Linked DNA regions of Diceros bicornis minor. The protein of the gene in region 1 purifies or fractionates together with the protein of each later gene. This does not show direct contact. Links are inferred from orthologs where the notes say so. Each region holds a gene or a part of one and is shown in the gene's direction. Other genes may lie near its edges.

Region 1 (7,088 bases):
ATGAACATTGTATCCCTATTTGGATTTTTCTATGACTTTCAGTAGAGTTTAATGATCTCTCCATAAAGATAATGCTATACTTATTCCTGGTGCTATATATGGTTTGTTTTGAGGTTTTCATTTTTCCAGTAACTTTTCTTCAGTTTGGCTTTCATATATGGCAAACTTGTTGAGCTGTCTTAATAGCTTTTCTGTAGATTCTCTTGAATTTCTTACTTAATCATATCAAATGCAATAGTTTCTTCTTCTGCAATACTCTTTTCTTTGTCTTAGTGTGCTAACTCTGATCTCTAGTATAGTTTTGTTCTTATTGTCACATATTTAATATTTTCAGAAACTGGCAAAACTCCATATCCATGGACTAAATCAGAGATTTCCTCCAATTCTTCAAATATCTCTTTGCAGATATCTCCCAAATTTCTCTCTGCTGCCTGCCCTCCTTGAGTTCCAGTCCTACATTTGCCACAGTCTCAAGTCAGATGCCTCCCACCACTTCCAAACCAGTGAGTCTAACACTGAACTTACCTGCCCTCAAACCATCTCCCATCTCATCTCCCTTATTAATGATAAACTTCAGTCATCTTTTAGCCCTCCCTCTCTCTCACTCAATTTCTCTCTATTCTACCTTTGTGAGATATCTCTGCTTTTATTTTATTTATTTTTATTGAGGTAAAACTGGTTTATAACATTATATAAATTTCAGGCATCTATATAGTTTTGGAGAGTAGATGTCTTCACTTTGTCCTTGGCTTTAAAAGGCATTGCCTCTAATGCTTCACATTTAAGTATGACTTTTCTGTCTAGATTTTTGGCCGACAATTTTTATTAGGTTAAGGAAGTTTCATTCAATCAGTGATTTTCTAAGTTTTTAACATCCCAAATGGGTGGTACTAAGCCATTTATAATGCAAAGAAGCTTTGTTCTTTAAGCCTGTCCAGTCTTCTTGGAGGACTTGTTTTTTATATTTGGAGATGCTTCTGGAAAGCCTTCTTCCATCTTTGAACCTGCCTCCTTTTCACCCCTAGCCTTGCTGAACACCTTTCAGGGAAATCCATTTAACTTAAATCAGCTTTGACTGGGATGCTGTTCAGTTTTCAGAGATTAGCCCATTTACAGAAAGACCTTAAGGGCCTCACAAATTACCTCCAATCATTTCACAGATAGCTTACAAGAGATACAAGTCCGAGTCAGAAGCCCAGCTATTAACGGTGGTCCACACAGTAGAGCCAGGGATAAATCTCTCTTAAGAGTCTTTAAAGAAAGTATGAACATGCCTCAACATTCCATTCTCTTCAAGCTCTACCTCACTCCTTAGTCAACGAATGAGCTAGTCCTGCAAAAAAACTGACACAAATGTACCCCAAAGCTTCCAAGTGGCCATGACAGCTGGAAGAGGATTTGACTGTGCATTCTTACACCTGTGAAGGACACTACTTCTATAGGGGAAAAGTCCTCTTCAAGTGTTATCAACTATTGCAGTAAACAAAGATTCAGCAAAAATAATCCCTGGGCCTTATGAAAATGAAATGACATTTCAGTGCACTTTCCCATCTTTTTTTCTGTGGGAAAACATGCATTGTTGAACAGCTGGCTTTTCCTTTGTTTCTTTCATTCTTTCTGTGCCACAGTTAATAGGGGATGCTTTATAGTTTAGTCTTTTTTTCTTCTTCACAACACTTAAGAGGAAAAATAATTCTTCATATTGCTTTCAAGCCAGGCTGCATCAGCATTGTACCTGGGAAGGAAATGGCTAGGTTCTGGGAGAGGCGTTTTTTTTTCCCTAGTCAAAATATACACATTGTTGGAGGGTTTCCAGTCAGCCAAAAAACATTTGACTATTTCATCCTGAGTGCTATATAACTTTCCGAAAATGTTAGAACATCTTATGCAGGCAGCATGCCTTGAGAAGCCTTTATCTCCCTGGGTGTAACCAACTTAACAATAAAGTTTGACACCTTTTGGGGAGTCATTTAAAAAGCCACAGGTTGCTTGTTGATTAACCAAGCACCCCAAAGCATGTATCTGAGTTCTTTTTTTGTAATCCTAAAAAGCTATACATCTATCTTGTACTCTGAGAGTTATACAGATGTACCACACATCCCTCACCCACACACGTGATGGTGGTGGTGGGGATATATGGGAGATAAACACTGCTCTAAAGAGGCAAAGACGACAACCAATTTGGCAGTGGGGTAGAGTCAAATCCAGTTTTCCCACGCATCCTTATTAAAAGCAGCTGGTTAATGACAAACAATGTAGGCAAACAATGTTATTGATTTAAAAAGCAATTTTCAGTGGCCTTCCCCTTTAGGTTACTTTCGACATAAATCAGTTATTTTACGTATTTCCTTTCTTTGGTAAACAGAAAAAAGCATTTGCCTTTCTGATCCTTCACTTTGATACTTTTATTAGTATCAGGAACCAGTTAGGTCCAGACTGATATTAAAATGAAAAGTGATCTTCCGCCCATTTTTCTAACGAAAACAAAAAGATTACAGATAAATTTCAAACTTCGGTTATGTCAAAAAATGTAACTCTTCTATATTCTCTAGTAGCAAATAGAAGAGATCAGGGATCCCTCAACATTCACATTATAAACACAAACACATGTTCAACCTCTTGCCATGCATTTTCTTCTCCCAGGAAACCTCCAGCATCACCACTGTTCCACCACACGCCCAGCTGCGTGAGGGATACGTTGCAGAGAAAGCGAAGAAAAGACCCGGAGACAGCGAACGAGACATATGGGTTTAGTGGGGAGTTACTTACAGGAAAGGTCCAGTGCCGGCCGCCTGGGGGGGAAATGTGCACCCGCTCCCCCACCCTGAGAGAAGCTTGCTTAAGGAGACAGAGGAACAAAGGCTGCGTGCTTGCCAAGGGGGACTGTCCCTGTATGATCTGCATTCCAAGCCCCAGAGCACCCCGCCCTGGAGGGCCTCCGTGTTCCTTCAGACTGAGGGTCTCTGTGCTAACACTTCCAGGAAAAAACAGGTGGGGTGGCCAAGCCCAGGACTGTTAGCGTCATGAGTGCTGGCGCCTAGCCCAGCCAAGGAGCCTCAAGGACACAGGGTTTAAAGGGCACATAGGCTAGTGTCCCTACAACCACTTACCTCGTTTTATATGTAGCTGTTGGGAACAGTGCTTTATACACAAGCCTTTTTTGAGAACTGTAAAGCTGTGGTCACTTCTGTCCCCTTTCTTGCATTTTCTAGGTCAGCAGCTACAGGGGACAGTAGTAACACTGTCCTTATCACACTTAGAGCTATAAGGAAATTCCTTTCAAGATTATCTCCTCTATTTTGTTGATTTTAACAAGACACCCCAAAACTTTATACTGCATGTATTGGGCTTAAAACAGATTAAGCATCGGGATGTGTTCAGCATCAGGATCCTGTTTCTGAAGTGGAACAAAGCCTTCCCGATGCCTCGTTTTTGCTCATCCTCTGCCTTTCTTCCCCCGCCCCCAACCGACAAGCCCTCTCCCAGCGCTGGAGTAACAGCGGGCATTACAATACTTCAAGCCGAACAAGATACTGTTAAATCAAACACAGCATTCCCTACTGACAGCCTACGTTCAAGGAAAAAAAGCCTCTCATTGGAAAGTTCCTGAGGGAAAGGGAAACCTACGATTTCGACTATCTTTGCAACTGTGAAAACTTGCAGTTTTGAGAAGAGAGAGAGGTATGAGTGGGCTAGCACAGCCATCGACACCGCGCGTCTCCCTCTCCCCCTCATCTTTCTAACTGCGACCAGCTGCCTCAGCTGCCCGCTCAGCCGCCCGGGGTAACCCCACGCCCCGGCCGCCTCACGCCGGGGAGGGGCCCGGGGCCCAGCCCAGCGGAAACGCCCGCCGCCCCTCCCCCGCCCAGCAGCCGAGGCCGACGCGGCGCGCCGCCGCCTCCCGGCCACCTCCTCCTCCTCGCAGGCAGGGGAAGGGGCGGGGCCCGACGTGACGTCATGCAGGAAGCCCGCCCTGGTTGGAAGGAATTTAGAAGAGACGGGGGCGGGGAGGAGGCGGAGTCTAGTTTCCTTGGTGACGGGTTGCCCGGCGGTCGCCTGGTAACCGGTGGCGGCGGTCCGGGCTGCTGGGGCGCGGGCGGCGGAGGCCGCGGAGGTCTGAGGGCCGCGGCCCAGGCCGGGCTCTTTCTGTCTGTTGTGCGATGGCGGCCGCCGCGGCGGTGGTCCCGCCGTCGGGTTTGGAGGATGGGGTGTCCCGGTCCCGCGGCGAAGGGGCGGGGGAGGTGGTCGTGGAGCGGGGCCCCGGCGCGGCCTACCACATGTTCGTGGTGATGGAGGACCTGGTGGAGAAGCTGAAGCTGCTCCGCTATGAGGAGGAGCTCCTCCGGAAGAGCAACCTGAAGCCCCCGTCCAGGTGGGTGCCCTCGTCCCCCCGCGCCTGGGTGGCGGCCGGGCGCTGGGGACATGCCCTGCTCCGGCCTCTGGGGAACGCCAGCGGGTTAGCAAGCGCTTGCCTCCGCCTTCCTAGCCAGGAAAGGGCACTGCACCCCAAACTGGGCGACGGAGGGCCGTGGAGCTCACGGAGTTTAGACTTGGTATGTTGTAGGGAGTGAACAAGTTCTGGAACGGAGGAAAGGGCTGGAAGACAGCTTACCTAGTCTTTAAAGCACACACGCACCTCTGCGAACACACACTGTGTTTGTCCTGATTATAAAAGTACCTATTGTAGAAAACTCGGAAAAACACAAGAAAATGTGTAGAAAAATACTAAAATCACCCATAATCTCATCCCCGGAGGTAATGCCACTATCTTTTAGATTATCTCTAGTTTTCGTTTTCTCCTGAGAGGACTTGTCGTGGAGTGGCAACCCTGGGTACCTAGGACCTCCCTGAGCGCTTTACATACAGTTAGTAAACTTGTTGACGCTTTGCTATGCTTTGCAAGACTTCTGCCTTTGCAGTAACAATACTCTCAGAAACTCATTGGAAAAGACAAATGAAGGGACAAATATTGAAATTGTTTCTTTATCCTAGAACCTGAAGTTCTGCCCTTGTTCTGGTGGGGAAAAGTCCCTCATATCCTGAAGGCAGTGCCATTAATTGCTGAGAGTAAGAGACTGCTAGCATTTTCTCCTCCAATCAATGTAGTGTAGCAATAGCCAGATAAGTTTTATAGCTTTTCCTTCACATTAATACTTAACATTTATTTTATTGTGTAAGAGACTATTTAGATTAGGAAATCTATAGTACTCTCTCTTAATGGCTCAAATAATTTCCCATGACACCTTTGATCTCATTTCTTGCTCTCTTCCAGTAACTTGAATTGTAAGATATATAGGCTTCATGTAAACTGTCCACATGGCTAAGTCAGTCCATAATAGGAGAAAAGTTGGAAGAAAAAGTAGTGTTGTTTGATCCCTGATAGAAATTATAGGATTGGGAGTTTTTACTTAAATGAATTAATCTGGATAATGTGAACAACCAACATTTTCTGTTAATAAAAATGCATTTTTTTCCCAAGTATATTTTTCAAACTAAAAGAAAATGTCCTTAAGGGTCTATTGATACACCTCTGTACTATTTCCTCAGGAGTTCTGCAAGATGTTCGCCAACGGTTCTCCAAGTTTGGTCACCGCACCAACAGCATCAGCATCACCTGGGAACTTGTTAGAAATGCAATCCCACAGACCCTTTCCCAGGTCTACTGTATCAGAAATTCTAAGGCTGGAAGTCTGTGTTTTAACAAGCCTTCCAGGTGAATCTGATGCATGCTAAGGTTTAAGAACTACAGTCCTAGCTCTACAGTATCTTTCAGTATCCATGCCTCTGTCCTGGAGTTGTTATCAGCCAGTAAGGAAAAGATGAGTTGTTAGCGGGGGGTCCTTTGAAAGGGTTGTGAGCATATGTCTGGAAGGACTTCCTGGCCTTTTTTTCTTCCCAGCTTTCTGTTATCTTTCAAATATTTACACTTATCCTGCAGGAAAAAGTTTGAGAAACATGAAGGAGTAGACTGCTGATTCTTACGAAAAATACTTGTAACAACTATAAATATATTATAAACAATAGTTATAGCTACACATAAAAAGGCAAAATAAGATCTTTGACCAAACTTACTTGAGTGTTGTTGCTATCAAGTTTTATTCCTAACATGTTTAGGTATAAATCATAGTGATCCTCATAGGCCTGTTTTTAGTAGGCTAGGGGATTTAACAAAAGTCAACAAATGTTTGTTAGACTGGGGATGGTGATACTCAGTGGTTCTTAATCCTGGCTGTACCTTAGAACCATCTAGGAAGCTTTTGAAATGTACCCATAGTGGGGCTTCACTCCCAGAAGTTCTGATTTAATCCATGAGGGAAGAAGCAATGTTTGCCCCAGTAGCAATAGTTTTACGAGCTCCTCGGATGATTCAAATATGCAGCTAGTTGAGAACAACTGTATATTATAGGTTAGAAACAGTAAGTAAATACTCTAATGACATTGTAAAAGTGTAAAAATGTGTGATGAATAATCATTTCAGGTCTTTTTTTAAACTCTGAGACTCTCTTAATTCCAAATTACCATTTTCAGGAGGTAATCTCATTAATTATTCCTGACATGTAAATGATTTTGGCAAAAGTTCTACATGCTCTGTTTTTTTACATGCCCTGCATTTTCCGGGTGTAAGGTCTTTGACCTAATATTTTGTGTATAGTAGTAATTGCCCTAATCCTGTTGATTAAGAACTTTGAGTACTGTGGATTACTAGAAATTTAAAAGAGTGAATTATCAGTGTCTTGATTTTAAGGCCATTTGGGGAAAAAAAAGTCCTTTGGCGGTTTTGGACTTAGGTTTTTTAATTACTATAGGCTTATTTGCAGTATTTCATATTCCTTCATATTCTTCCCTTCCCCCTTGTTTTGAAATAGACACTATTTTGCATTGCCTACCAACCCTGGTGAACAGTTCTACATGTTTTGCACTCTTGCTGCTTGGCTGATTAACAAAGCAGGACGTCCCTTTGAGCAGCCTCAAGAGTATGATGACCCTAATGCAACAATATCTAATGTATTATCTGAGCTTCGATCATTTGTAAGTGTAAAGAGCTGTCTTCTTTCTGCATGTTCTCAAGTTATGAATTTTAATATTGG
Region 2 (7,937 bases), on another chromosome or scaffold:
TCAATAGTGCCAAGGTGGAGAAACCCTAATCTAAACACACAAAATTCCCACAAATCCCGCAGCCCTCTCTTTTGCATTGCCCCCTGACATGAAGGCATTAGAGCAAATCCGCTCTAATGTATGAAGGATATTCTTCTTGAGGATTCATGCCGAATAACTCTCAAGAGGCCTCTCCCCACTAATTTCCCCTAAAGCCTCTTATTTATCCAGAGGGATTGTTTTGGATCCAACGATCCTGCTAATACACTCTACAAGCAGGGGGGCTCTGAGGAGCGGCCCCGGCAGAGGAGACACCCCAGAGCGATGGCGGAGGGACTGTGCCCGGCACTGGGCACGGTCAGCTCCGGCGCTGAGCGTGGAATATTGTGGCTGTCCCTGGCACCGCGCCGCAGCTCCCACGCATGCTGCCTGTCAGGGCTGTCGGGAAGCAGTCAACCCCAGGATGATTGAATAGTCCCTGGGAACAACATGTCAGCAGCTGCCCCTCCGCCTCCTTCTCCCCCAAAGCCCTCGCTGCCTGATCAGCCCAAACAGCCCAGACCCCGGCTGTGGGGAGGAGCGCTGTTAACCCCTCCTCCTCCATGGAGCCTACGGAGCTGTAGGGTCTGTAGGATCTACAGGTGTGGAGCTGGGGGGGTGGCGGTGTGGAGGCCCCAGGCATCAGGATGCCCCCATCTGAATGGCCATGGCACTCCCTCCAGAAATAAGTCGGTTACCTGCACAAGAATGGATGCTCCAGATTGCTGCTTGTTGAATGAATGAATGACCAGAAGGGTAAACCCTATGAGATTCATTCATTCATTCAAAAATATTTGCTGAAGATCTTGCCATGCTGGACACTGTCCCAGACACTGGGAGGACAAGAGACCAATCCCTGCTCTCATGAAGTTTACCTTCTAGAGGAGGGAGACAGACACTACACAAACAAACAAATAAATATAGAATATAATATTGGGTAGTACTGAGTGCCATGAAGTACAGTAAGGCAAGAAGATTGAGACTGACAGATTGGGGGCAATTCTTTAAATGGGGTGCTTGGGAGGGCTTCTCCACGGAGGTGACATTTGACCGAAGATCTGAAGGTCAAGAGGGAAAGAGTCATGCTGCCATGTTGAGAACAGTAAGTGCAAAGGCCCTGAGGTAGGAAGGGTCTTGGGGAGTTCGAGAAACAGTAAAACAACCAGAGGAAGTGAATAAAGGTGGGTCCTGGCATGACTTAAGAGCAGTCATTCTCAAACAAGAGCTTGCATCAGAATCACCAGAATGGCTCATGAAAACACAGATTGTGGGTCCCACCCCCGGTGCTCAGTTGGGCACTTCTAACAAGTCAGTGCGTGATGCTGATGCCTCTGGCCCAGGGACCACAGTGTAGGATATTTTTCTTTAATGCAACAAGTCCTTTGCTACTCAACACTTACCACAAGCAGTCACAGATAATCATTGCTTGATTATCCACCTCCCCACTGGGCTGGATGCTCCCTGAGAACAGCGACGATGATGGTTCTGTCCATGGTGCTTAGTAAGTACTCAATAAAATATCTGTTGAACGAATTCTTCAAAGAACATTCTCTGCCGGGCCTTGCCTCTCTTTTGCCTTTCTGCTGTATGTTTGGCTTCAAGCAGATGCTCGGGTCACACCTAGTCTTATCAGTCTCCCATTCACACCTGAGCAAAGAGTGTCACCTGACATTCTCCAAGGTGGATGCACTCCCACAGCTCCACGCCTTTGCACATGCTGTTCCACCCAGGATGTCCTTCCTCCTGTGTCCGCCTCGTCAATTCCTACCCATTCTTCAAGGCTCTCCTTCCAGAATATCCTTCCCAACTCCACTCCACCGATCCAGGGTTAGGGGGTGCCCCTCTGGGTCCTGTATCCACTCATGTCATATGGATTTGATCCCACATTTGTCTTTCTTTCTCAACTAAACATTGCAAACGGGCAGCCCCCGGGTTGAACCAGTCAACTGAGGTGTTCTACTGCGGCTGCAGTGTTTTAAATTTAAGTACATTGCCAAAATTTGAGAATCAGGGGATTTCAGACAAAAATTCAGATTCCCGACTCTTCCAGAAAATGCAGGGACCTGCAACACTGGGCTGGCGTTCCCACGTGGCCATGATCTGCCAGAGCTGCCTGGGACTCTGTCACCTCCACTTCACGGCCCCAGCACAGTGCCTGGCCTAGGGAAGGCACTCAAGAAAAGCTTATTAGTGAAACCAGCAAGACCACACCAGGCAATGGAAGAACATCGGTCCCGAGAGCAGGAGCCCTGCAGCTGGCTCTGGTTCTGGCTGCCTTGTCACATGACCTTGGGCTTTCTATGGACCTCAATTTCCTCGCCTGTTAAGTTGAAGCAATGATAGTTTCCACTTCCAGAGTCGTTGCATCAAACAAGAGAGTGGATGTGATTTGTTTAGCACGTGCCTGGCATACAATGCTCAATCAGCGAGAGCTGCAACTGCAAGGAACTCAGTACACACTTACTGTCTAGGATGGGAGAAAGGGTGAGAAGAGTTAGAGGCAGGAGAGGCCCCTGTTCTGCCAGGGGGACAATGGTCTGCCTGTGTTCAGTCCCCAGTTCTGCCATTCACTAGCCTTGTGACCTTGGGCATTTGACTTAACCTCATTTGGGCCTCAGTTTTCCCATTTGTCGAATGGGGATGATACAGGCCTCATGGGGGTTAGTGTGAATATCAAATGTGAACATGAATATTAAATTAATCCTTTAAAGCACTTAGAATGAGGCTGGCACTCAGTATGTGCTCAACATACACCAGCTTTAGCTGTTATAGCTGCTCAGGAGGGACTTAGACTAGAATTTCTCAAGGGCCCTCATGGCTCCTAAACACTCTGACCGCCTTAAACCCAGTGACTCTGGGCCATGCAGCTGTCATTCAGTCATCAAGAATGTACAGAAGGCCCTTGAGATGGTGCAGGGAGGGGGGTAGAATTCACTATACAGGGTTTACCGCCTCTCTGGAAAGATCCAAAATGCTCTTACGATGGTGCTGACTACAAACATACAGAGCAGCAGCAATGACAGGGAGAGAGTGGATGTGGTGCAGAGAAGAGCCCTGTGTGGGAGGTGCCATTATGACCCCCCATGCAGATGAGGAAACTGAGGCTCCAGAGGCCACCTCCAGATGGATCTCAGTGTCTCAGCTCCACGGAGCTGCCTTGGAAGGCTGACTCACTCAAGGGCTCCTTTAAGGGATTAATGGGGTCATGGGGAACAGGACAGCCTGGAGGGGGAAGCACGGAGACCAGGCAGAGGCTTTCTGACTCACCGAGGCCTGGGGTGTCTGAGACAGACTCGCATGACATCTCTAAGAAGAAAAGTAGGTATGAGGAATGAAGCGGAGACAGGTCTTAACCATAACACTAGGAGTGACTCCCAAGGGAAGAAAATTTCAGACAACTTGCATTGTTTTACTCCAAATTCAGGGCTGAAACTTTCATAGCAGTTCGTGGAGTGTGTGTGTGTTCAGGGCCCTGCGCAAGGCTGGCAGCCACCCTAAGACACAGAGCAGCTGAGAGAAGGTCCAGGTAACTGAAAGGTATGTGATGGCGAATCCCGGGCGCAGGCATCTTCCAGGGGGGCTACTCCTCCCTTTCAGCATTGGCCATCCCAGGGGCGCAGCAGGAGCGAGAACAGCGGGGCATCGGGCCGGTCCATGATGGCGATGATAAACCAGACCTGTCCAGATAAATTTCTTCTCATTCAACACTCACTGTTGAGCACCCACCATGTCCCAGGCACTTACGTACTTTCTCTTTTAGTCCTCAGGACAACCCATGAGGTGGGTTCTACTAGCCCACCTTTAAAGATGAGGAAAGAGGCTCGGGGGTGAGGCCTCGCCCGGGTCAGGAAGATGGCAGTGATTTCAGTCTGGGTTTTCTGGCCACAGAGCAAGAGGGGCCTCTCCGGAAAGTCAACAGACATCGGCAAAGCCTCCGGTGTCCGGGCAATGTTCCTGGATGCTTGCTTTCATTCAATATGTGGTATGTGCTATGTGCTCCATCTTACAAGAGAGGAAACGGGCTCAGAGGAAAGTATGACTTCAAATGCCCTCCTCAAAGTTCACTTGTTCTCCCTTCTGCTCACAGACATCACTTGAAACACTTTCATACTTTAGACTTTAAAACGCATAACATCCCTGGGCTTGAAAAATGAGATTTCCCTGCGGGATGCGGGGCAAGGACTGCATTTCTTGATGCACCTCATAGCCGCGCTCCCGGGCACCCGGAATCTGGGGGAGCGACACGAACCTCCGCGACGCCAAACCCGCTCAGAGCTCGGTTCGGGCAACTGCGGCCTCCTCTACTGCGCAGGCGCCGCTGCAGACTTGAGCGCGCCCGACGGGCCTCGTGGGAGAACTCATTTCCAGAAGGGCAGGGGGGTGCGGCGAATCCCCATTCCTCCCGAAGATGGGCCAAGCCAGCCTCTGGCCAATCAGAAAGCTTCTTTTATCACCGCTCTAGCTGCACGAGGTTGGAGCTGCTTTTCCCTGAACTTTCCTGCGGGGCGGGTGCGGGAGGTGTAAATGGTTGACACCTCTTGCAACCATTCGCCGAGAGGGTTGAGCTTGAAGAGCAGATGCCACTACGAATTGCCTCACAAGGGAGGGCTGTTATCCCCGCCCCCTCCTCCCACTGGCCTCCGAGAACCTTCGGGGCGGGAGCTCTTGGCGGCAGCCAATCGAGGGTCAGCGAGGAGAAGGAGGAGGCGGGGCAGGCGGGCGATGGTTGCCCCGGTAGCGCGGCTGGCGCGGTGCTGGGGGCTGAGGGGCTGCGGGGTTGCTCTTCCAGGTCCCCGCTGCTGGGGGCCGGGCTGAGGGGTTGGACCGGGAGCGGGAGCCGCGCCGCCTCGCTCGCGCCTTTCCCGGCTGCCTTCTGAGGCCTGGAGCTGGGCCGCATCTGGCACGCCCTGCGCCCCCGTCCCAACCCTAGCACCCCTTATCCGCCCCCCGCGCAGCCCTGCGGGTCCAGGCCCCGTCGTCCCCGTCCCCACCGCGTCCACAGCCCCTTGAGCGTCAGCCCTCCTCACTTCCCTTCCCAGGCAGGCCTGCCAACTCCTCCAGCCGCCGCTCTTCCCCTCTCTGGTCCTTGGAGGTGGTTGGTTACCATGGTGAAGCTGGCAGCCAAGTGCATCCTGGCAGGTGAGTCTGAAAACTTGCGGTTGAATCCAGTCTCTGGAGTCCAACGACTTCCTAAGTTATCGAGAGCTTTGGTTCACGTAAATTGTCTGCCCGCTTTCCCTTTCTCTTGCCCAAAGGCGAGTTACTGCCGTTACTGATAGAGTCAATTCCTCTAGGCGTGGAAGAACTCTCTTCCAGAGCACGGTGGTAGCTCCGGCCGAGTTTCCCGCTCCTTGTCTACTCTGAGACCACCTTCTCCAGTCTGAGCTGTACTCAGGAGGAGTCGACGCGTTAAAAAATCAAGCTAAGCACACCATAAGTGCTTCACCGGAACCCACGGGCTGTCCCGCAGTTAGGCTTCAGTGACTGTGGTCGTCTTTACCTGTGGGATGATTTTCCTGACCCCATCCCCTCTGATAGCAGGGATAGGAGACGGTGATGTACGCTTGACTGGAGTTTGCAAAAGGCCCATGTGTGTTGTCTTTAAGACCCAAAGTTACTGTGCTGCCCACGCTCAGAAGGGCATGAACGTTGAGTCCTCCAAAGGCAGGAATCTTTGCCGACTGATACATTCCTAGCACCCAGAACAGTATCTGGGACATAATAGGAACTCAATAAATATTTGTAGAATGAATGAATTTGTGGCGTGCACATTTGTGGTGCTCTGTTTGTATCAGTCTGCACCTTTAGAAAAACATTTGCCTGGATTAGAGACCTGGGGCCACAGAACACATATGTCCCCTACTAGGTGAGTCCTATGTATGTGAGTCCTAACTGTATGCCAGGCACATGTATTTCATTTAATCCTGTCACGGTAGCCCGCTGGGGTCCGTGCTGTGTTGTTCTGATCTTACTGATGTGCTGAGAGCTGAAGAGTCTTGCCCAAGGTCACCCCCTAGTGAAGGAAGGTCATAGGATTTCAACCCCCAGATCTGCCCAATTTGAAAATTTTTGTGTTACCATTGAAACGTAGGCCTCTCTGGGGTTCCCTGACCAGCTCAGAAATGAAACGGTGAGACATTATCTAGCGGAGAAGGATTCCTTTTTTTTGATTCCGCTCTTTCAGACTGAAAATAGATGATATTTTTAATGACTTTTCTAAGTTGGACATAAAAGGGTCACACAGAAAGATGACTGACAGCAGTAGCTCAAATCATACTGGAGCAAAAGGAATTAATGGTTCTCAAGAGAGGTCTCTGGTTTCCAGAGCGCCAGGGGAGGCAGTATTGTGTCACAGAAATCATCTGGCTCTTCCTCTGATCGGCTGTCTCATGTTGCACAGAGCACTTCTCTGAGCCTCAGTTTCCTCAGGGATAAGGTGGGAACGTTTTTATTTTCTGAAGTTAGATTTTTTTAAATGGGCTTCTCTCTCTCTAACTGTTCTTTTTCTTATTTCTTTTTTAATTCAGCTTCTGTCATGGGGCTAGCTGACTGAGTACCTTTCGTGTGTCAGTACTGTGCTAGACCCTCACCACAGGTTGTCTCACTGAATCCTCACAACAATCCTGTGGGGTCGGCATTATTGTCATTCTCATTTACAGATAGGGCAGCTGAGGCCCAGAGAGGTTAAGACACTTGCCCTGGGTCACACAGCTGGATCTGATTTCCAGGGCTTTTTTCTCAGCCCCAAGCGATACCGTGCTCAAGCCTCGATTCTAGACTCTTTGCCCTTCTTTACACCCACTCTCCCAGGTACTGTTTCACCTAATTTCAGTAGCTGCCTAAGTGATTGCTGAACTCCAGCCTCACCCTCAATCTGCAGCCTCCTTTCAAGGCCTCAAGGGTATGTCCTCTTAGAAGTTTGCAGGGGCCAGGAGACTTCAGCACCACCAGCCACCAAATTCGCCTTCTCCATACCACCTCCACCACACACCTCTCTTCACTGGTTTTATTTTTTTCTTTCCCCGCACAGACCTAATCAATCTGTTTTTTCTCTCACATAACTAGTCACTGAGGGACCTGATATTTACTTCGAGTGCTTATTCATTCAACAGATGTTTATTGAGGACCTACTGTGTGTGAGTCACGAGGCAAGGTGCAGTGGGACTACAAGGAGAAATCAGGCCAGCCCCGACACTCAAGGAAGCGCTGAGATGTGCATCATAACTTATAATTCAATTCAAACACAAATCGAATGTCCTTTGTGTACCAGGTACCAGAGAAATACCTCAAGGCACAGCTGCTGATTGTTCTGGTTCAAATGAAGAGAGAAAACAACACTTGACATTTATCTATATTTGTTTAAAAATCACTTAAATATTACTAACTATATGTCAGGCACTGTACATGTTAACTCTTAAATCCTCAAAACAGTGCTATGAGATAGGTGCTATTGTTACCCCCATTTTGCAGATGTGGCAGCTGAGGCCCAGAGAGGTTGCTGACCCAAGGTCACACAGCGAGTAAGTGAGGGAGCCGGAGTCTGTGCCCTAAGCACTGTGATACGCTGCCTGTGGATGTGCGTGGGGATGCTCACAGTGCCTCCCTGGAGGCCTGCTCTGCCATCAAGGCTCGTGCTGCCAGCAGTGAGCCATGTTACCCACACGGCTAAAGACAGGAGGGGGAGATGACCTTCAGAGGCCAGGCAGGAAGGACCCTCTGAGCTTTGCCTGTTAGAAAATGAGCAGGATTTAGCCTTGGACCGGAGAGACCTGGAAGGAGGTTGTCTTCGAGGGATTTTCAGAGATGAAGAGATTAGGAGTGTGGAGCCCATATTTGGGGTGAGGGAGGGGCGGAGAGAGAGTTGGGGAGGGTTAGGGGTGACAGTGGAGGGGGGTGTGCCTGGAAGGAATCCTTGGGGG

The links. Proteins that work in one complex are often made in the same cells at the same time.
Region 2: the proteins of IFT57 (region 1) and IFT27 purify together in Homo sapiens (co-immunoprecipitation; 3 studies listed by BioGRID and IntAct, with this or other methods). This does not show direct contact. The link is inferred for Diceros bicornis minor from reciprocal best matches to the Homo sapiens genes IFT57 and IFT27.

Annotation. Positions count from the first base shown.
Region 1 is NC_080754.1:11,471,363-11,478,450, reverse strand, and holds the start of IFT57 (intraflagellar transport protein 57 homolog), read left to right. Parts: upstream 1-4,080; 5' UTR 4,081-4,160; coding exon 4,161-4,372; intron 4,373-6,866; coding exon 6,867-7,029; intron 7,030-7,088. UniProt on the Homo sapiens protein: Required for the formation of cilia. Plays an indirect role in sonic hedgehog signaling, cilia being required for all activity of the hedgehog pathway.
Region 2 is NC_080764.1:12,873,145-12,881,081, forward strand, and holds the start of IFT27 (intraflagellar transport protein 27 homolog), read left to right. Parts: upstream 1-4,895; 5' UTR 4,896-5,123; coding exon 5,124-5,157; intron 5,158-7,937. UniProt on the Homo sapiens protein: Small GTPase-like component of the intraflagellar transport (IFT) complex B that promotes the exit of the BBSome complex from cilia via its interaction with ARL6. Not involved in entry of the BBSome complex into cilium. Prevents aggregation of GTP-free ARL6.